Astyanax mexicanus: one gene and its partners. The protein of the gene in region 1 purifies or fractionates together with the protein of each later gene. This does not show direct contact. Links are inferred from orthologs where the notes say so. Each region holds a gene or a part of one and is shown in the gene's direction. Other genes may lie near its edges.

What was found.
Region 2: the proteins of fosab (region 1) and cop1 purify together in Homo sapiens (affinity purification with mass spectrometry; 4 studies listed by BioGRID and IntAct, counting the BioPlex papers as one, with this or other methods). This does not show direct contact. The link is inferred for Astyanax mexicanus from reciprocal best matches to the Homo sapiens genes FOS and COP1.
Region 3: the proteins of fosab (region 1) and stk40 purify together in Homo sapiens (affinity purification with mass spectrometry; 3 studies listed by BioGRID and IntAct, counting the BioPlex papers as one, with this or other methods). This does not show direct contact. The link is inferred for Astyanax mexicanus from reciprocal best matches to the Homo sapiens genes FOS and STK40.

What each region holds. Positions count from the first base shown.
Region 1 is NC_064408.1:39,843,774-39,851,463, forward strand, and holds fosab (v-fos FBJ murine osteosarcoma viral oncogene homolog Ab), read left to right. Parts: upstream 1-4,602; 5' UTR 4,603-4,770; coding exon 4,771-4,875; intron 4,876-5,064; coding exon 5,065-5,301; intron 5,302-5,639; coding exon 5,640-5,747; intron 5,748-5,871; coding exon 5,872-6,501; 3' UTR 6,502-7,139; downstream 7,140-7,690. UniProt on the Homo sapiens protein: Nuclear phosphoprotein which forms a tight but non-covalently linked complex with the JUN/AP-1 transcription factor. In the heterodimer, FOS and JUN/AP-1 basic regions each seems to interact with symmetrical DNA half sites.
Region 2 is NC_064415.1:58,593,143-58,601,105, reverse strand, and holds the start of cop1 (E3 ubiquitin-protein ligase COP1), read left to right. Parts: upstream 1-4,879; 5' UTR 4,880-5,220; coding exon 5,221-5,525; intron 5,526-7,189; coding exon 7,190-7,249; intron 7,250-7,343; coding exon 7,344-7,441; intron 7,442-7,597; coding exon 7,598-7,662; intron 7,663-7,963. UniProt on the Homo sapiens protein: E3 ubiquitin-protein ligase that mediates ubiquitination and subsequent proteasomal degradation of target proteins.
Region 3 is NC_064413.1:33,630,222-33,637,972, reverse strand, and holds the start of stk40 (serine/threonine-protein kinase 40), read left to right. Parts: upstream 1-4,684; 5' UTR 4,685-4,913; intron 4,914-7,751. UniProt on the Homo sapiens protein: May be a negative regulator of NF-kappa-B and p53-mediated gene transcription.

The sequences.
Region 1 (7,690 bases):
GCGCGTGCTGCTGTTTGTACCTTTATTGCATTGCTCAGTGCGGGTAACCACTGTGAAAAACAACGTCTAACAGCTGCGTTTTCAGAACTTATAGGCTGACAAAGAGTCTGTGCAAGAAACCTATACGTGTTCCCAGCTTGCACACAACCGACCTTCAACGTTGAAATATTTAACGTTGAAGTAATGTCTGTTGTTGTTTCAACGTTGAAACAACAATTAATGTTAAATGGTTGTGCAACAATAACATTTCAACAAAATCAACATAATGTCCTCAACCTTCTGCCTTTTGAATTAGCTTTTTACATTTCAAAAAACGGTTGGATGGAGGGATGAAAAAGTGTTTTTATTCCTTTTGCAGTAATTGTTTTTTATTTTATTTTGCACCGTTTTACACCATAACTGGGGGTATGTGCATGTTGTATTTGTTTTACTGTTGTGTTATGTTCTAGTTTTAGTGGGCTATGGTTTATTTAAGGTTAAACGTACAATTTTGAAACAACGTTACCTTATCAAAGTTGATTCACTTTTCAAAATCAACACCAAATCCAACGTTGATTCAATGTTAAAGTGCCAGCTGGGTTGTGCTGTGATGTCTTGTCAAATCGTGCTAGCAGTACATATTGGTAAAGCTGTCTAAATGAATAAAACAGAATGCATGCTATTTCGACTGCCTAAAAGCCATGTTGGCTATATTAAAACATGCTCCAGGCAAAAGTCTAGAGAAGGTATTTCAATAGCATAAATTACTGTAGCGTTATTAGGGTGAAAATAATATCTGAGAGAACAATACTTTTTTGTTTTGAATTGCCATTTGCACAATTTTAACACTCAGGTAAATAATAACACTCACGCTCAGTTGTTATAATGCACCAGAGAAAATTAAGAGAATTATAATGAAAAACAAATGAAAACGTATTTAAAAGGAACCGAGGAGCTGAGGAATAGCGCACGCGCAGTGTTGGCAATCAGCGCATATCGATAGGTAGGTATCACATCTCGACAGAACACCTCACGGCGTTCACACCTTTGCCATCTCGCAGAGGCTCGAGCTGCAGTGTGTTTAACAGTGTTTTACAGCTGCCTGTCTAATTCACGGCGAGCGAACAACCGTCACTAAAACAGAACCGAATAAATACACACGATATATGGTTCACTGTCTCCTCAAATTCACCTCAGCCGTGGACGCGCTTCTATTTCTGCAGCATTTCTGTATTTTTATCTACACATTTTCTAATTCGCTGAATGACGAACGATCCCACACACAAAGGGCCGCTGCAGCATCGAGACGTATTTTGTCGCCAACGAGGGCAGCGACCAATCAGAGGACGCGGATTTCTCTCCAGCGATGAAAGCAACCAATCAGAACGCGACGTCCATCTCGTCCCTGAGCGTCGGGAAGCCAATCAGAGCGCCCATATCCATAAATGGAGTTTCCGGAGCGCCGCTGCTGCAACAGCAGCAGTGCCTATTTTTGTCTCATATGGGACTTAATTAAATGGCATTGAAGTGACGAAATCAACACCAAATATCCAAATTTATTAAATTTACTTTTTGTTGCATAATACCTTCTACTATCTACGCTCATAATACGAATTTCTGATGTAATAAAACATTTCTACGCAGTGCTAGGCTATTTTTTGATCCTTTGCAGCGCCCACTCTCTCCCCTCACTCTTGTTTCCCACGTTGGGGGGTCGTCTGGTGAGAGGGGCTCTATATTTAGACAAAATGAGATGAGGTAACCCCGGCCTCCCTCTGGAATGTGTGTGTGAGAGAGGGAGAGCGAGAGAGTGAAAGAGAGAGTGTGTGCTGTTTCCCGGCAGGCCCACGCCCCTGCAGGCCAGCTTTCCGGCAGCCGGTCAGACTTCAGCCTTAGTGCAGGACAGCGCCTGTGTCGGTCAGCCTGTCCGGTCTTGCTACCGGGAAATGGGTCAGGTTTTTGCTAGACCTCTATTAATGCAAAGTTAATCTGCCTCTATGCACACGTTTGCTCTCAAAATAACTTTTAAGCACTTCTGTTCTAAAAGGAACCCCAACCAGTCCCCGGACAAAAAAACATAATTATTATAAGAAAAGTACCAATAAAGCAAAAATATATAGATTTGGATTTTATTGATGTAATTAGCAGCAATATCCTATGAAGGGTGAATTAAAGAACTGATATGCACTCACACACCCAATATCTGCACTACTGCTTATACGTGCACTGTCATATCCAACTGTGACATTTAAATAACTGTATGCACTCGTTCACTTTACCAGCCTTAAGCATTTCTATCACTATATTGCACTACTGTTTATACAGATTCTGTTTACAACGGCATTGTCATTCCCTCTTAATCCCCACTTTAATCACTATTTATCTATTGTCTTTGTCTATTATCTCTTGTCTCACGTATGTCTATATCTGTGACCTTGTTGTTTTGTACATTTAAACAATGTATTCTATTATATTTATATTTTATTTTTTTCTTGTTATTGCTGTAACTTTGGGAAGGAAAGTAATTTGGGTCCTCGGTATGTCCTGTACTTATGCAGTATTGGCAATAAAATTACTTAACTTGCGTTTATTTTATTGCATGAATTATTAAAAATTACATTTTTGTTTAGCTATATTGTTCCATTAATGGCAAGAAAAAAACGGTCCCAATCACTCTTCAGTCACTTCAGATTAAAACTGCTTCTCTTCCATGTAATCACCATTTTAGAGCGGTGAGTGAAAAACAGTCCCAGACTAAGAGTTTAAAAAGTCCAGAGCTGTGTCTCTGGAGCTTGTAGGTTTTTCATGGACACAGAGGTCCAGAAATAGAATAAAACAAACCAAAACAAGTGAAGTGTAAAGTTTTGCTTCGCCAGTTTGTTCCAGTTCCAGCTCTACCGCGTCACTGACGCCAATGGGAGGGGCGTTGCCTCGACAACGCGGAATAGGAGGGGCGTCGCCCAGGCCTCTCGAATGGGAGGGTTGTTGCCGGGCAACGATGAACAGTAAACACAACACGATCCAAGCAGCGCTGTTAATAAATAACAAAAATCCGCTTCAGTTCACTTTTCTTCACCCACAGATCAATCACAGAAAATGGAAAACAACTGTACACATGTTACCAGACACAGCCAATAGTTTTCACATTTATGCGGGGGAAAAAGTTAAAATATAAAGAAAAGGGCTTTAACTTCCTCTGCTTTTAATATTGCATCATTCAATCGAATATGGATATTGTTTATTTTTTAGTTTGTTTATTTGCGTGTTTGTCTGTGTTTTAGTTTTCTTTGACCTAGTTTTATAACGTCAGTCAGTTGAGCGTGCAGGACATGCACGCAGGTGACCTTGGACACACCAGCACATTCCTCACAGGTACAAACCCCACCCCTACCAATCACCTATCACCTACATCTGTCAGAAACATGAGAGGAATCCTTTCTCTCTCTTACTCCCTCTGTCTGTCTGTCTCTCTCTCTCTCTCTCTCTCTCTCTCTCTCTCTCTCTCTCTCTCTCTCACACACACACACACACACAAATTCAAATAATTAAAAAGTTCTGGAGAAGAATTATCCATTAACATTTTCAGACCTTAAGTATCTCCAGTGATGAAAAAAATGTAAGAATGCTCTTTTCTGTCTGTAATGCACAGAAAAAAAGACTCTAACAGTGTGCTATAAAATCTATATGGCAAATAAATCCAATTAACAAAAATATAGATTTTTATTTATATTGCATTGGAAGCCTGTGTGAAATATTTTATATTTTCTTTTTTATTTCCTTTGTATTTCATAAACCATCTCTAAACAGTAAAAAACATGATTTAAAAAATAGTTGTTTCTTTGCCTTAATGGCTCTAGTACTACTGCTTTTACAGTGGATAAGACCAAGCTACCTTTTCATTGGTTTATAGACACGTTCATTGGCCATTCATGGTTCGTGGTCTGTTTTGACGAACAACAGCTCTCAAATATTGTGCAACAAAACATTTAAAAATAAAGAAAATAAATTATGTTCATTGTAATGGATGCAGGGTTTGAAAGGGTTAAATAAAATGCTACATTTGTTTTTCAAACTCAGGTTTCAATTAAACAAAACACATATTTTCAAATAAACAAAATAAAATAAATATATATTTTTACTGCAATGTTGTAATTCTTTATATTATATAATTTATAAAATTCTAGCCATACGCTCTAAATAATGCACAGCAGTGAGATCCCCTTTTGTCCTCGCAAACACTGCGCTCTCAACGTTCACCAAGAAACTTCACCCCGCTCTGTTTACGTAACATCGCGCTCTGTCCGCACAGAGTGTTTCCCAGCAGCGCTCCGCCCTCACAGGATGCTTCCCTTATAAGGACAATGACGTCTTGGGATACCCTGCTATGGAACGTCACACGTTCACAGCAACCGTTAAAAACAGTGAAAAAACACGGGGTTATTTCACTATTACACAAAGCGCGCGGCGGTATTGGGACTGTACGGACGCGAAGGCTATAAAAAACATCGTTTTTTATTTTTGCGCGGTTTGCTTTTCCCGTGTTTGAGTGCATCTGTGCGCTCGAATGTTCCGAGATAGCGCCGCCCCTCCGACGTGCGTCACGCGCGAGCACAGTATAAAAAGGGAACTGCTCTCCAGTCTCAGCACTCAAACTTTGGACTATATCGGAAGAACAGCGAACTGAGTGGAGATTTAAGCCGCTAGAACTCAGTCTATTCCCCTCAGGAACTCTTCATATCGCGACTTTTGGATCTTTTGGACGCGTTCCGAGTGGGTCAGCGGTATAAAAGGATGATGTTTACCACTCTTGAGCACGACTCGTCCCGCTGCAGCAGCGCCTCTCCCAGCGCGGGGAGCTACGGGTCTCCGGCTGGAGTTTACAGCTCACACAGCCAGGTATGTAGTAGAGCTACCACCTCCAACTCTAGGCATGATGGGATTTTATCTGTTTTTATATTTATACGTCAGAGATTTATAATACATTTATAAGAAAATGTAAGAACTTTGTGTTTTTTTACTGCTTTTTTAGTTTTTTTTTTCCTGATTAAGAAGAGTATTAAATTAGTTTCTCTCTTGGTGTTTCAGGATTTCACTGACCTGGCCGACTCACCATCTCCCTTCGTGCCCACGGTCACGGCCATCTCCTCCTGCCCTGACCTACAGTGGATGGTCCAGTCAGTGGTGTCCTCAGTGGCACCCTCCACCGGCAGAGCTCACCCTTACAGCCCAAACAGCACCAACACCTCCTTCTCCAGAGCCAAGATGATCAAATCGGTTGGAAATGGTGCTCAGAGCTCCAGCAGGAGGGGCAGAATTGAGCAGGTGTGTGTCTTTTGGTTATAACACGGTCTTAATATACAAGGGGGAACTACGTGAAAATTTCTTTACTGCATCAAAAGTTATTGTGGTGTAAAAGAGGTGTGTTTGGTCTTCATGGTAGTATTGTTTGCCATATATACAATCCCTATATAGCCATCATATAAACACAAACACTTGAAATCTGTGCATTTTGTGCCAAATCTTAACATCTTTTACATCTCAATGACTTTAATAATCAATTAAAGTTGTACTTCCCCTAAAATTCCTATTGTCCTCATTTTGTTCTTATCCCTAATCTGTTGAATTGGAAACTAATCAATTTCCTCCCTTTTTTTATTCAGCTTGCTCCAGAAGAAGAAGAAAAAAGGCGTCTTCGCCGTGAGCGGAACAAGATGGCTGCAGCCAAATGCCGCAACAGAAGACGTGAACTCACTGACACCCTCCAAGCTGTAAGTATTCCTGTCTCCTCTGGTCTGAACTTTATTATTTTGACAATATAACTCTATTATCTACAGGAAGCCAAACAACAATGGCAGTTAAATTAACATTCTGCTTGCTGTCTTGTTTTACCAGGAAACTGACCAGCTTGAGGACGAGAAGTCTACTCTGCAGAATGATATCGCCAACCTGTTGAAGGAAAAGGAGCGGCTCGAGTTCATCCTGGCCGCTCACAGGCCCATCTGTAAGATCCCAACTGAGATGGACACGGCCTTTCCCGAGCCTTCCATCTCCCCAGCTCAGCCTGTCTCTGAGATCCCTCCCGTCACCGCTTCCTCTGTTACTTCCAGGCTGACCGAGACGATGTCCTCAGCTTCCTCTTCAGTGTTCTCTAACCCTTCCACTGACCTCATGACCTCCACAGTGAAGATCTCTGACCTTGACCCATCCCTGGAGGCGTCCTTGGAGTTTCTGGCCAAGTCTGAGCTGGATACGGTGCGCTCTGTGCCTGATGTTGACCTGTCAAGCTCCCTGTACGCTCAAGACTGGGAACCCTTGTACACGTCGGCCAACCTGGACCTGGAGCCTCTGTGCACGCCAGTGGTCACCTGCACACCCGCCTGCACCACCTACACGTCTTCCTTCGTCTTCTCGTATCCAGAGAGCGAGGTCTTCCCCGTCTGTGGCCAGCTGACCCGCCGGGCCAGCAGTGGCAATGATCAGTCGTCCGATTCCCTCAACTCTCCAACCCTTCTTACTTTATGAACTCATAAACAGCAGGGGTGTAAATTGATATCAACAATATGATCGCGATTCAGGCATCCAACTTTAGATTTGGTTTTAGTTCATCCTGACTAAAAGAACGACAACAAACCCTCAATATATACACTCTCTCATATTGTAGTTGAATCGCAGCCTTCTGTACTTTCATTTACACCCCTGTCCAAAAACAGACCTCATTAAAAACACTTACAGACTCTTTAACTGTTCAGGGCTACACAACTGACTCCACTAAGCAAATGTTTCTTTATGTATTTATTTATTTGAAGCATTTCTTGCCTCTTGCATATGTAGCAAGTTTAAGCATGGTTGAATACTTTGGTGTGTATTAACTAGTTATGTTACATTATGCAGATAATACAATGTAGAAAATAGGTTTTTAATTTTACTGGTGCTAGATAACTGTAATGTGGTCTGAGCAATACAGAACTGACTTTGTTTTCCACATTGTGTGAACTGTTCTTCACTAAACTGTTGTGCTTGGTTTATTTAACCATTATAAATGAAATGGTCTGAAGTTTTCTGTGAAAACGTTGTATTTATGGATTTGTATTTTTGTACCGAAATGTGAAAATGCAACCTGAACAGGGTTTGCAAACCTAGAAATAAATATATTAAATGTATGTCTCTGTATACGGTCATGATTTACTTTCAACACGGGTGCTAACATGTGATTGATTATTATAGCACGTATACCTATAGTCACTAAAGTTGTACAGTAAGTTTGTCCTGATTGGGTCTTAATTGAAAACTTACATTTTAAGATTTGAGACTCAACTATTGCAAGACATGTGTTGGGCAGGACATTTTAAGCCAAACAGAACAGCTCACTTCCATTTTATTCTTACATATTCTGGCATATTATGTCATTTAAAAGGATAAAGCAAACATTGTATTTAATCAGATTCATCCAAAGTTATATTAATAAGTAATAAGGTCTTGATTAGACTGATGGTGAGACTTAAACATTTAACTAAAAGAATGGCAAACTGTTTTGACCATATCAGCATGAAGACTTCATATTAAGAGACTTTGTATTAACTTTGGTTAGCTTGACTATGAAAATCGCTTGAAAAACTAATTACAAATACAATTTTGAACAGATCATCAGTAAGTAAGAATACCTCATTATCAGAAGCTGTGTTTTTGCTGATTTCAGCCAGTTTGGCAACGT
Region 2 (7,963 bases), on another chromosome or scaffold:
GGGTCAATTTGCAATCGGGCTCGGAGCGGTTATGGCAGGGGCCTCATCAGGGGAGAAAGAGCTCTGAACAGTGGGAGGCAAGAATTCCGCAACCAACCCGAGGACCTGAAGGATCCGCCCGCACAACATTCAGCTTTTTTTGTATGAAAGTGCTTTCAGATCCAGCTGCAACTTGGTAGAAAAAAGTGAATGGTAGCTCCTAGGCCTCACCCCCCACTGTAAAGGACCTCTAAGAGATTATCCTTCGTCTCTGAGGCCGACCAGCCCCAATCCAATTTAAAAAAGTGACCAGAGAATTCAGCGGAAAAGAACAAAATCCAACCTGAAGTCCTGGACCTGTAGAAAAGTGCAGAAAAGAAGCAGAAAGTCCTAAATCCTTTCAGAAGCAGATGTGTGAAATCAGAACCCTGGAGACGGAGAGTCATGTGGGAAGTGTGTGTTTCTATATATATATATATATATACAGTATAAATCTGTTCATTTTTATACATCTCTAATCATCTCTACTTAGAAATCAAAGCATCCATCCGTACAGAACTCAAAGCTGAATCCCAGCTTCCTCAAAAAGTTAGTAGTTTTGTTAGTAGAAGGTTTTAGTAGAAACATTACAATTAACATTCTTAGAATAATCTGTCAATGTGTTTTCTGAATGTTCTCAGAACATTTTATTCAATGTTTTTAAACATTCTTAATAAATGTTTACATTTTTAGTTTGGTTGTATTCGTCTATGTGAGAGACGTTCTAATAACATTGTGCAAACCATCTTTATGTCAAACGTTTTCAAAACGTTACATTCAACGTTAACAGAGACTTAGAACATTCAATCTTTTAATTTTACTCGATGTTCTTAGAATGTTTTATTGAACATTTTCTAAATGTTACAAATTAACATTCCTAGAATGTTCAACTTTTACACAAAGTTACAGTTCATAGAGTAACAGTCTTAGAACATTTCTGGACGTTCTTAGAATGTTTTATGTACCATTCTTAAACATTCTGGTAGCATTGCTGCAACGTCATTTGTGTTGTTAAAGTTAACATTTTTAAAACATACACTATACAGTATAAATTGAAAAGTGATATTGTAGCGACGTTGGGAAAATGTTAAAAGAAATGTTGCATAACATTATAAGGATATCAAGAAAACTTAACAGATGAACTTGAACTTACTAAGAACATTAATAGTAACATTTAGAAAATGTTCTACTGACTATTTTTTTCGTTTGCTTTCTTTTAAGATCTCGCTTCTTTCTTTTTTCTTGTTTTTGTCTTTCTTTCGAGATCCTTTTTTTTATCTTTTCTCTTTTTTCTCTGTTACCCACTGTTATTGATCACCCCTCTACAAAGGTGCGACAGAGAACTGAGCTATGACTGGGTTTTTTATACTGTGTTTCACAGCTGATCCTAGTTTGCGCTGAATATCGCTGGGGATTCTGGGACTTGTAGTTTTTTTGTTTTTGTTATTTTGGCCCAGATCCACCAGCTCTTCCACTGCAGACTCCAGGCCCTCTACTGGTGGTTGTTGGTACATGCAGCTTTATTATAAAACCAATACAAAACTCAATCTCTCAATCCAGAGCAGAAAACAGACAGATAGATAGAAACACACAGAGCTGAGCTTTATGATGTAATTTAATGTTTCAGATCGAACTGAATAACATGATTTAATCTGCTTTTCTTACACTTAAACTCTCCTGTTTGCTACTGAATCACTGATATTATTACTGGAGCTGGAAACCCCCATTCATCACTCTCTCACCTCTCGCTGTCTTTACCCATCAGGCTCTTTGAGTACCTTGGCTCCGTTTTAAAAGAGGTCTATATCTCTGAGCAGAGTCCTAACAGAAGCCCTACAAGATATATAAATGTTTGAAATGGCAAAACGTGCAGCTCTCATCTATAATTGAGACACTGAACTGGCTGGCTTCTGCTCCACACAACTCATCCACGGCTCTCTACTCCAGTTCCTCCCGAGAGGGCTGATCTTTTCGGAAAGTGCGCCAGCCCTAAAGACCTGCCTTACGCTGTCCGTACTCTACACCACTTTAAAAAGACTCTGAAAAAGACTTTAAAAGGACTTTAAACAGATTAAAAGTCTGACAACCTCTCACATCTAAATACTAGACACAGAGTTTTTACTCACAGACTAAGATTTTGCAAATTAAGCAAGTCATATTTAAGCAAAAATACTCTCAAGGTTCGTGCTATAACGTGTAATATTGGCACTGTTTTGGTGCGATCGTAGATCAGCAATATAACACAGTTCCATTATTATCTCTGTTTATTTAAATATTTTAAAGAGTTAAAGAGGAGGAGAAAATCTGCACGATCTGTTTGGCTATAAAATAAAAACTCTGCCAGTTAAAATAGCTCCATTGCTGCTCTGTTTGTTTGTAGCTGAGCTGTTTGGTTTGTAAGCGCTGCATCGTTGCATCGTAGGTTACCTGTATGTGGCGGAGTAATACGTACATGGAGAGCTTCGGTTACAGCAGTGCATTACTGGCTGATAACGGCACTCATAGAACGCCTCTCAGCCAATCACATTGCAGGGTCGGAACTACTAACTGTGGTATAATAATTATTTATACAGCACTTTTCAGAACTATATAACAGAGCCACAAAATGCTTTACAATAAAATAATTTAAATATATAAAGCATAAATGATGATAAAATAAATGACAAACAAAAACACAGCTAAATGCTTTTGCCATTTAATTTTTGTTGTTTTTTTTATTGTTTATTTGTTCCTTATTTTAGCGTAACCTGATAATTATATATTAAATACTTGACTTTAATTTGAATTGATTTTTTTTCCCAGTCTCTTTAGAAGGTAAATGCTTGGCTGCATCGAAAATTATTCCCTCAATGTATTACCGAGTGACAATAAAGGTTAATTGATTGATTAATTAGTTGGTTGATTGGATAATTGATTGATTGATTGATTTGTAACTCAAAAAAGGGTTCCACTGTGATTCATACCATCACTATCTAGTAAAAAAGGCTATTTTAAAGTACTATATTAATCAGTTTTTTTGCAGAGAAGCTGATATACAATAGTTCCATCACTTCTTCTCTAGTTTTTTCTTGTTTTTTCTGTTTATTTTGACTCATCTCTGTTCAGTAATGACTGGATCCTCTCTGTGATGGTTGGAGTTGGTTGGAGTTGGACTGGTGATGAACTTGTTCACACGCCGGAGTGTTTACGGACGGAGGGCGTGAGGGGAAGGAACGGCTCTTCAGAAGCAGACAGGACAGCTGCAGGGTAAAATACGGGCCAGGACTTCTCCCGTGGTGGTCTCCTGACAGGCTAATGTATTCTGTAAGATGCTCAGTAATTTTCCCCAAAGGGGACGAACACTTTTTCCAGCTTCACTGGGCTGAACTACGGTATAAACGCCTCATTCTGCAGCAAGCGAGCTGAAAATACACAATATTTTACACAATATACACAAACAGGGGTGGATTCCTTTAAAAAGTGACCAAAAATATTAATACATTTTAATTAATAATTAATACAATTTAAAATAAACCCTTTTAGAGGATTTATTTATTTCACACTGTCAGATTTGCTGATCTGGACAAATTGCACACTAAAAAAAACACAAAGGTACAATATAAGTACTTCATTCCTTACAGCAGGAAGTACAGATTTGTACCATTTAACAACCCAAAAGGTACAAAAGGTAAAAAAAAAATACATTTTAGGAATACATTTGTGACCACTGTGCCTTTAAGGGTTAATTAGACCTAAATAGTTATTGATATTGAGGAGTAGAGATTAGTAGAGACTTCCTATCACATTATTTAAATTAGTTTCTGTTTATTTTTTTTTTTTAATATTTGACATTAAAACCAAAAACACACCAAAACAGCCAATAATATGTCCTAACAAACTTCGGCTTCTGTTCTTATGGATACGAGATGCATTAAAACGTGCATTGCATATCTGTAAGTACTTTATTCAATTAATTCATTTAATTAATTAAGTACTTTTACTTTTAATTTGTAGACTTTTAGTATTTTATTAAAGCAGTTTTACCCCCCTCTGCTGGCCACCAGCGCGCACTGCAGTAAACCAGCAACAAGTTCAGCTTTTCCGTAGGTCACTCTGCCCTCTGCTGTTACAATACAGGACAGCATATAAATATATAATATAAATATATATATATTTTTACTTTTTGTTCTGATTTGCTTATATACGTATGTATATATACAGCTCTGGAAAATAAATAAGAGACCACTTAAGTTTCAAAATCCGTTTCTCTGATTTTGCTATTTATAGGTTTATATTTGAGTAATGTACATTTTTGTTTTATTCTATAAACTACAGACAACATTTCTCCCAAATTCCAAATAAAAATATTCTCATTTAGAGCATTTATTTGCAGAAAATGGGAAATAACCCTAGTTTTTAATCACAGTTTAATTTCATGCATCTTGGCATCATGTTCTCCTCCACCAGTCTTACACACTGCTTTTGGATAACTGTATGCTGCTTTACTCGTGGTTTAAGAATTTAATCCGCTCAGCTTGGTTTAATGGTTTGTGATCATCCATCTTCCTCTTGATTATATTATAGAGGTTTTCAATTTGGTAAAATCAAAGAAACTCCTCATTTTGTGACAAGTGAGTGAGTATTTTTTCCAGAGCTATGAGTATATAATTAAAAATATATATTTGATTTTTTTTTTTTACTTTTGTGTCTTTTTAAAACTATTTTAATATGACAATCTCAATGTTATATTTCAATATAAATACATAAAATAGTCAAAATAATTCTGAAATCATGTTTTGAGGTGTTAAAAAGCTCAGACCTGCTATAATGAACTATAATTAATACCCCAGACTCAGGCCCGCTCCGGTACAGAGGGTGGCGGTGGAGCTCTCCTGCCCGCCGCGGTGTGAGTGTTGCCTGGCGGCGGCTGTTCTTCTGCAGCGGGCTGAAATCTGTTCAAACCCCCGTTTGAGAATTGTCAACAGGAGGCTCCGCGGTGAGGATATTCTGTGTTTTGGTGGCTGATATTAAACCCAGCGCTGCTCCAGGCAGAGCGGTGAGCGGAGAGAGTGTCTGCGGGGTACAGCGCGACTGTTTCCCCGCTGCTGCGGCTCTGTGTGCGGGGTAACGGCGGCGGCAGCGCCGGGCTTGCTGGGCCGGTTAGCATGCAGTGAAGCTTCGGGCCTGCGGGGAGGGAGTTCATACAGGCGGCACCAGGGAACCATGTCGAGCGGACGGCAGCAGCACCAGGGCGGCGGCGTGGGCTCTGTGCCCGGTACGAGCTCCGGGAGCGGGAACACCGCAAATAGCGGGAGCAGCAGCAGCGTTACGGCCAACGGGAGCAACACGGGAGGCGGCAGCGGCGGCGGAGGAGGATCCTCCAGGACACTGGGCTCCGGAGCTGAGCAGCAGCTTACGGGGACCCAGAGCGGCAGAGCTGGCTCCTCCGGCGGGAGCTACAGCAGGAAGCGGCCGCTGTATAACGGCCTTATTAATCCGTATGAGGATAAGAGCAACGACTTCGTTTGGTGAGTAGAGCCGACAAACTGCAGCTTACCGACGGGGAGAACCAAGCTGAAGGGCCGCTATTAGCGCTCCACTACCTACAGTTAGCTTAGCTTAGCATAGAATATCGTAGCATATCATAGCTATATTAGTTTAGCTAATGCTATTGCTAACGTTATGCCAGTAACGTTAACCGCTTTTCTCTGTTCCCTTTTTTCTTTCTTTGACACAAAAATAGTTAGCTAACCTAATTCTGCGTTAACATTTATCTGCATTTATTAAACTCATTTATTTACATTTATATATTTTTAATAACGTCTAAAACACGCATTACTAAAGTTAGCTAACCTAGCTAACTAAGTTGACGCTAGCTAGATTAGCTAGGTTAGCATTGCCAGTTCCTGTGATATTAGCTAGCTAATGCTATCGCTAACGTAAGTTAGGCTAGTAACCGTTTTTCTCTGTTCCCTTTTCTCTCCAAAAACAAACTTAAACTAATTCTGCGCTATGCTTTCTTTATCTTTATTTGTAGCTGTGTTTAGTTTTGTGTCGGTGTTTATAACGTTAATTATTGCTGTTTGTCTAAAACATGCAATAATATAGTTAGCTAATCTAGCTAACTAAGTTAATGCTAGCTAGTTAGCTTGTAAAACTAGTAAACGCTAACAGTTACTTCGTTAGCTCTTTTAGCTCTCAGAATAAGAGTTTTCTCGACTCTTCTAAGGTTTTTGTCGATAAAACAAATTACAGTCGTTTTGTATGTTTGTCATGTAGGTGTTTTAAGTTGTTTTATGTGTTTATATGTGTTAGTTTAGCTAACGAAGCTACCAGATTGGTGTTCCTGCAGCTGCATTATTTACAGTAGCAGGTAGAGCTGGGTAATTAATCGATATCCTAATATATTGTGGTGATGAATATGTTTCAGTAAGGATGATACGGTTTCAAAATCATTTTTGATATAAATATGTATTTTACAACATTTTACAGCATCTGCCACAGACTGACAGTCATTACTGAACTTATTAGTTGCTAGACTAATATATAATAAAATAATAATGATATCAGTTCACTAGGTCATACAGCATGGAGCTGCACAATACTGGTGGAAAAATCTTACATTGAAATATGTTATTTTTATGTTTTCTGCCATTTATTTAGAGATATTAGAAAATACAAGGCTTTTACCAGCTTTCTTCAGAAGTCAGTCATACTATATCTCACCCGGCAAATGTTTGGCATGCTAGATATCTGACTCAGTCAGCAACTGGGAGTCAGGAGCAGCGGCTATATACTGCCAATGGAAAGAGAGAGAGAGAACCTCAGGTCCTGATTCTGCGATTTCCCACAGCGAAAACAGTTGTTTTGGTTTATTTGTTTTGATTATGTAGGATATTTTTAATATTTCTACCTTATAGTTCCAACGTCCAAATACACTTAATAATAATACTATATTAATAATAATACTGTGATAAATTAGAAGTCAAAAATATGTTTGTGCAACAGACTTACAAGAAAGCGAATCACATGTCTGTGAAATGGACATCATGTACATTATGCCAGTAGCTAAACAGTAAAATGTATGATGGATTGAATTGAACATTGGAGTAAAAGTGAATTAAAAAGCACAAAAACATGCAGAGTATTTAATAATCCTTTTTAAAAATGATTTTCATTTTTTGTTTTTCAGTCCCATATGTTTCGAAATGATAGAGGAAGCTCACATGACTAAGTGTGGCCACAGTTTCTGGTGAGAAAACATTTAATTTTATCTCATGTGTATCCGTTTTTCTGCCGTAATGCTTCCTGTGATGCTGATTCTTGTTTTAATTTTTGTTTTCTAGTTATAAATGTATACGACAGAGTTTGGAGGACAGCAACAGGTGCCCAAAATGTAATTACATTATAGACAATGTTGATCAACTCTACCCCAACTTCTTAGGTGAGTGATTTAAAGAGTAAATGCGGATTATCTTTATCTGTGCAGGGTTTTCTGAAGCGCGTACACACTTTTTTTTTTCTTTTTATATTATTAAACAGTGTTAAGGTCCGCACCTCTGAGTCAGAGATATTTTATACTGTATTTTCTTTGTCGCAGTGAACGAGCTAATCCTCAAGCAGAAACAGAGATGTGAGGAGAAACGGCTAAAACGGGACCACCCTGTAAGTATACAGCATGCTCAGAAAAACGTATTGTCTTTAAAAATTCTTTCATATTTCTCAGCTGGAAAATGTCTCTACTAGGGGTGTAAGAAATTTGATATATTAGATTATTGTGATAATTACTTTTACAATACCTCAATGACTTTTATCTATTAGTTTACAATAAAAGACATCTGATGTCTGACAGGGGTTCATTTGCTGTTGTTTAAACTCTGACCACTAGAGAGCAGTGTTGCAGTCTTCTGTTAAATCCCACTGTTCTGATTGGATAAAAAGTAAATTGTTCTTTAATACAGATGAT
Region 3 (7,751 bases), on another chromosome or scaffold:
AATAGGTAAGAGCATATTTGTCAAAAACTGCCTAAAGCATCATGAAAGCCACATTTTATGTTTTATTTTCCCAGACTGTTAAATTGAGCATATAAACAGCATACTATCAGAACATCTCTGTGCGCCTCTGTAAATTTGAATAGCATTTGCTAAGCTGCAATACACCAGGTAACCAGGCTGGAGAAACTACAATATCAACAGGTCAGAGTTCCCAAAAGCTTGGTAACGTAATTTACTTAGTTAACTAGTCCTAAAGATTTTTGTGAGCTGGGCGTTTATAAAAAGTTAAGTATTTTAAATAGTTTAACTCGCTCCCAAATTAAAGTTTTATCCAACCTATTCCTAAGGTGGGTTTTGCCTGCAGTTTAGTAAACAAACACCAGGGGCCGCTAGGGGATCTGCAAAAATCGGAGAAAGAAATATATAAATATAATTAATATAATCACATGATATGATCATATATAGATATAACCATATATATATATTGATTGATTGTGGATAATCGTTCTACTAAATGCATTATCCATTGCAGCTGTTAATGATGTGCACAGTTTGGCAAATCCCTGCAGAAAAGTATGGCCAATAAAGTATGAGCCCTGTGTGCAACAAAGGCCAGGTGTGGTCTGGAGGTGAATGAAGCCCCCAGCACTGTGGAGCTGTTAAACTGTGTTCTCTGCAATTATGGTGCTTCATCCAGTACTTTAGGGATTAGTTGTGGAGTTGGGGGTGAGGTGAGGTGATGATCATATAATGATATAAAATCCTTAAAGCAATCTTTTAATACCACTGATTTTGTTTAACCCAATGGCATTGTTGGTTAAAATATTTTATTTTCTGAGTGTAAGTATGTTCTATCTACAAAGATACATCTCCTTATTCTAAAAAAAATAATTACTCTTAATGAATTTAACATTTTAAAATATAAACAATAATGTGCCATGTGCAAAAAATGAGTGGCAAGTGAGCATGCTTTCCCACAAGGGAATGAATGTAAGTGCAATTCATTCATTTATGTGTAGGAGAAGGATACCTCTCCCACGACTTTACAGATGAATAAAGGGTTTTTTAGAATTGCTTATTAGAAAAGCCATCAAAAGACCAACTGTCTGAGCAGCGTGGGTGAATGAGAGACAGTGGGCAGTAGGACATGATGACTAGCCTGAGTGGTTAGCCAATGATTCGTGTGCACTGTTGCAGAAGCAGATTGCATCGTCTGTTCTGAACTAGAGTATAATATGACAGGTTATTAAGACTTTTTGATGGAACATCAAATTGAGCATTATATTCTTAATATGCTTTATAAAGATAAGGTTATGCAATGCAGTGTTTCACAATCCTTGTCATGGAGGCACACTTCCCTGCCTATTTCAGTGTATTTTATTTTAAATGTGCTGTTTATGATTCTGGAGAACAACTTGTTGATATTTAAACTCATTAGCATGACAAACACACCCTCTCAGTGCTCCTTCAGAAGCTCTACATTTTTAAATTCTTGCATGTTGTGGATTAGTTAGCTGTTGTTACAGTTGCTGCTGTTAGTTGTTATAATTTATCACCAACATTTGCAAACTGAACAAAACAAAACTATTTCTTTGGAATAGCAAACATAAGTAAGTATCAAGAGAGAATAGAGCAAGTTCCGCATTCCTTGTCATGCCTTTCTACACATTGAGGTCTCTATATATATCTTCATCTGATTAGTGTTGTGTAGCTCAGTCTGAGCCATTATGTTTGTATCCTAGAGTTGTGTATGAACACAGTTCTTTTCCAGCGAGTTAACAGACTGGGGAGCTAGCTATCTGCATGGTAACATTTGCTTAATTTTACAATTAAGGTTTACTGGATTAATATTTTATGCAGCATCTTTAATTGAACGTAGAGTGTAAACGTGACATTAACAAGGGTTTACATTAAAAGGTTTGCAACTCTTCTAATCAATTTTGACCCAACTGGCAAGATGATCCAAAAACTATACGACTACCTAATGCATTCCTTTATGATCATTCTGTCACCTTATAATGGAGTATATGGTGTTGCAGACAGTTTAGAATCCTTCAGTTGCAGTTAAAACTGACCACTCAGGCTATTCATCATGTGCTACTGCCCACTGTCTCTCATTTACTCACAGGACTCTGTATGCACACACGTGAATAAACAGTATGTTTGTGTGTGTTTTTTGTGGGTCTGTGTAACAGCATTATTGATGAGTCCTCGCCATGACATGTGCAATGAAGTGATGATGCTGCCTTCTGCATTTCTTTGTTTCTGTTAGCCTCAGTTGTCCAGTATTGCCTTTCAGTTTATCTGCGAACACTTTCAATGGAGGACAGAGTAACAATTCGAATCACCATGGTGACAGTAACTATGCTGTGGCGTCAGAGAAAAATGAGAACAGTCCAGGCACGTTTTAGACCCCCACATCACGGCTTCCAGTCACGCACTCTCATAATAGCCATGTGAAAAAAGAGCTGTCAAAACATGCTGAGGCAATAGGTGGTAGGACTAGACACACTTACCTCAGCCCACAGTGCTTCTCTTTACACTGCTGTACAGCACTGTTTCTGTGCTGCATCATTTTAAACACTGATCATTTGAATTCTGATACAATTTATTATTTAATTAAAATGACTTTTTTAATCATTTTTCACATAAAAACTCCCTTTGGGAGAAATCAGTTTTTTTTTTCTTAACCCATTAGGGTCCTTATCCAGTTCAAAATTGGATCATTGGTAAATTAACTGAGAAGCTCACTCATGTGTTTTCTTTTTGTATAAAGAGAGAACATGACTCTAAATATTTTAATCTTTAAACACTAATGTAACAGAAATTATACAATTTCATAACGTGTATTTGTTTGACATTCTGTTCTAGAGTTTGTGTCACAACTAGTTTGCATGTAAAACATTTAAAACATTTGTATTGTAAAATGGGTTGGAACAGACCTAAAGAAGCAAAAAATATTACGTGAAATCTAATCTCCAGCACTAACCTAGCACACCTACATTCTGTAAATAAGGTCAGATAAGCACAGTGACACACTGTCCTAATGCACACAGGATGTTCAGTATATGTCACTTAGGTCTTCATAAGTTTATAAAATCAAGGACAGACTGCTGTAATGAACTTTCACAGCTTTTTGTAAAGGTCTGTGACATATGCATGTCACCATGAGCTCTTTTAGTGCTCTGTTGTGCTTTATATATACATATTTCTTCATGCATAAATGCACTTAACTTAAATAGTTTGTGGGAAATGATTGAAATATGTTTTTGTCTGAAAGGGTCAAATAATGAAGTAAATGTATGTAAAGGATGTATGCAACACTGTACCCTTTTCCTGTTATGCATTCTTTTTATACTTTTCTGTCTCTCCTTACATTACCCATGGGTCGCCCACTCTCACAGTATGATTCAGTCAGTTTCCACCCTGAAAACTGTGGGTTGGCCAAACCTAAGCCACAGGCTGATAAAAATGTTTCATGTGGCTAAAAGCAAATGCTGTGCTGAGTCAAAGCAATCAAAAAGAGTTATGACCCTTTAAAAGAACGACATGTATTTGACAAGCTACTGCTTACTAGTCCAGTGCTCTGAATTAGAACAAGCAGCATGGGTGGGGTTCAGTTGAGGAACTGTTGAACTATCTGAAGGGTCTTGCACATAGAATAAATGTAGTAGTAGCAATATTTGATTAATTAGAGAAAGCACTGAATAGCTTTCTCTAATGCTTGTGTAACCTGATTTTTTTGCATGTGTGGTACCTGTCATAATTTTGTATCATTGCATTTATAAAAACACATTATTCCAGATGAAGGCAGCAAAACAATGTAAGAATTATTTATTGATTTATGGTGTACAATGCACTAGTACAGACATTTGAGAAGTTTAAATTAAACTATATGGACAGACTTATTGGGACAAATGTCTATTCATTGTTTCTTTTAAATTCAATAGTATTAAAAGGGTATTATTCTGTTGTCTGCAGTCCAGGAAAGACTTTCTACTTGCTTTTGTATTTGATGATTATTTGCTATAATGATTTGATTACATTCAGCAACAAGCATGTTACTGTCAGGATGTTAGAAGGTCACCACCTCAACTTATCTTTAACTGATGGAGCACCACCATTCCAGATAACACACCACAGCTCCACAGCTAGCCCATACCATTATACATGGTGCCAATAGGTTCATGTCCATCTTTACATGTTTAGCAGTAAACATCTTCTCTACAAGGGCTGGACAAGCTGTGTGCATGTGTGTGTGTGTGTGTATTTGCCCATCTGTGTCAGCAAAGGGTAAAACTTTGCTTACAGTAGCTGGATGCATCATTTATTAGAAGAAGTGTCCACATATGGACATACATATAGACATCACTTAGTGATTAAATAATATTAACTTCTTAAACTCATTCTAACTTGTATTCCCTTTTTCAGAAGACACCTATGATATGGCTCAGTGCTGTATACATATATTAATAAATCATCGATATTGGTAAAGAAAAACTGAGCAATAATCAAATCATAAATCACTCAGTGTATTCATTATTCTGTTGTCTTATTTCCAGTTAAAGACAAAAGGCCCGAAAACGAGTTAGACTTATTGGCTGAGCCGGTCGGGAGAGGAGGGTACTCGCCTCTGATTGGGTTAGTCGGGCTGCCCCTTACTGTTCGTGCGTCATTTCCGTTGTCAGGTGGTGCTGCTATGGAAAGATGTGATCAGTCCGACGGGACGAGGCTTTTCAGCGCGGCGACGCTTCGCTTCTCTAACAGCGGAATAAAACCGTCCTTTCTCCCACACAGCGCTGCGCGGCAGCGAGCCGACTGTTCCTGCGCCTCTCCTGAGTCCTGAGCTGAGATGGCGGCTGCGGTTTAGTAGACGGCAGAGGATCCCTCCCCCCCGGCGATTTGATCTCGAGGTGAGTGAGTGAGTTGTTAAATGGCCCGTCAGTCCGTCGAGAGGCGGCGAGCTGAGCAAACCAAACCAAGCCATAACCCAGCTGAACTGGAGCTGCAGAAACCGGCTTACTGCCTTCATAGCTTTTGCCGCATGTTTCACTCTGCAGGAAAAACTTAATTATTGTAGTAAGTTATAATGTTGAAAACCGAGAGGAGCTCGACCCTTACAAGTTCAGCTGGAAAAAAAGACAGAATAAAGTGTCGGCTGCAAACGAGGCAGCTAACCCCTTAGTTATTCTAGCTACCTTAGCTAGCCTAGTAGCTCAGTGCTCAAAACAACCCGGTGTTCTGTCGAGTTATGCTACTCATTCATATGTACTTCTTTACAGCACTGCTCATGCGCTAACCAACCTTTTTTTGTACTGTTTGTTTTTCATGATCATTCCGTGAGTTTTTATTGAGAGCATTAAACAACCTGCTCAGATGTTAAAACAATGTAAAGCAGTTAAAAATAATAATTAACTACAAAAAACTATAACTATAAAAAATACGGTTTCTAATCAAGTATGTGATTTTATTTTATTTTTTTTATTTTTTTACTTTAAGGTACTTGACAGTGATTTAGCCTATTCACATATCCTACCTAGTATTTTCCAATAAGGTGCTTTTTCTTGGTACTTTTACCGTTTTATATAAATTAAATACTACCAGGGTAGCACAGTTGAAGAAGGTAGCACAATTCGACACAACACCGGTCTAGTTTGTTCTAGAGGCGGAGCGGCAGTAAACGCTAGCTAAGCTACTTCACTAACGTAAAACTGACATTTTACGTCCAGTGTTAAACTAACCTAACGTTAGCTGCAGAGCTAACGTTAGCTAACTAGTAAACACTGGCCTGTTTATTCAAGCTGGATTGTAAGTTAGCTATACTATGATCTGTATACAAACACCCAGCGCGGAGCAGAGATCTCATTCCTCCTGTGACTGATGTGTTAGCTAGCTAAGCTAACCTATCTACAACTCTAGCTAGCTATTTACCGTTAACACTTAACACTGTAGCAGCAAGCTAGCGTTAGCATCATTTGATCCTTAATGATGCGAGCAAACCAAGTCCTGTCTCAGTTTAACCAGTTACGTTAGCTAAATATTGCAATAACGTGCGGGTCTCTAATGCAGTTTTAAAAGTATGTATCGCTGTAGGGTGAGCGACATTTTTTTGCTAGGAATAATACCAGATCCAACTACAGATCGTTTAAAGTCATTCTGACTAAACAATCTAAGCTACCTGGTCACCATATCCTTACTGTAAAATCTAGCTAGCTAGCTAGGTTAGTTCCTTGTCTAAATATTTGCAACTACATTTTTTGTTGTGAAAAACTGTTATTAATGTTTTGTACTTTTGAAATGTAGCTTAATTATCTACGGATTAGAGGGTCTGAATTTCTTTATAAATCAATAGCAACATAGGACCAGTCAAAACAACATTAACGTTATATGTAAGTTAAGTTAATAGATCTGTTTTTTTTGCGAGTAAATATAATTGCTGTGGAGGGAGCTGATATCTTAAACATGCTACTAGTGGAAACTGAGTTAGCGTTAGCTAAACTTGTGGTTAACTTTAACCTGACAACATAATGACCAGCGACCTGCAAGCTGACGCTTGCCTGCAGAAGACCGGTAGCTTTAAACGTTAGCCAGATAGTTAGTTAGCTGGTTAACTAGTCTAGCTACACTTGTCCCTGTTGGCCTAGTTGGAATTTAACTAACTCTGTTAGTGTTTGGTAAGAAAACTGCTTTACATGCAAGTGTTAACTAGCATTGATTGCCACACGCTGTGAAAACGTGTGCCTGACTCTAAATTTAGCTGCCTCGGTAGTGACACGGCCATTAATGAGCCAAAGCGCATTACACTCAGATGAATTACATCATAACACCACAACAGCCAACTTGCTACACAGTGTAGCACACGATTAAACACTCATGCAAGCATACAAGCATAATAGAAATGACCGTGAAATGTCTTTAATAAAGCTAGTTAGTTGTACCTGATTGTTATGCAATCTGCACAGCCTTTCACCCTCTACAGACTAAATAAGCAACCATACCATCCATTGTCTGAAGTCTTGAGAAGACAATTGTTGTACCTTTTTTGTTTTTGTATTTATACTGTTTATTTCATTCTTACAATACTGTCTCTTACTGCAAACATTGCTTGAATACATTTGCACTGAGGCTATAAGGCTAAAATGGCAAACATGTAATGGATTTGTATCCCCACAAGAGAGGGACAGATTTTATATCTATAGTAGTCTGACACAAAAAAAAATCAACAGTTGGAGCAGCAGGCTTCAGAAGTGGCCGCACTACTTGTTAATTATTTGTACAAGTTTGTTTTTCTGCATGTCATTCTTTTAACGGAGGTAAACATCATACAGTGGTTGGTTAACTCTTCACATGAAGTGTCCTCAGATTGGACTCTGATTTATATATCCTGGTTTTGAATGCTTGTGCAACATGCAGCCTGCCTTCTATAATTCCCCTTCATTTCTTTTTGTGCTTGATGTAAACACATGGTTTCATTTAGGAGCGGACAACAATAGTGGCTGAAATCTTGCTAGATAAAGCATGGGCATGGTGTCACTGGGCAAAGCTGTCACGCAAAAATCTGTTAATATCTCAAAGGGTAATGACCATGTGATCATGTCTGTCATCATGTCTGTCACATTGTCGGCAGTCTGGAGCTGGAGGAGAAAAAGAATCCCTGTCGAAAGTGAGAATTTATGTACGGCTGCAGCCAAATGAACTCCTACTCCCTCCAGACTCGCTGTGTGTTCAGCTGCAGCGTGCAGTCAGAATGG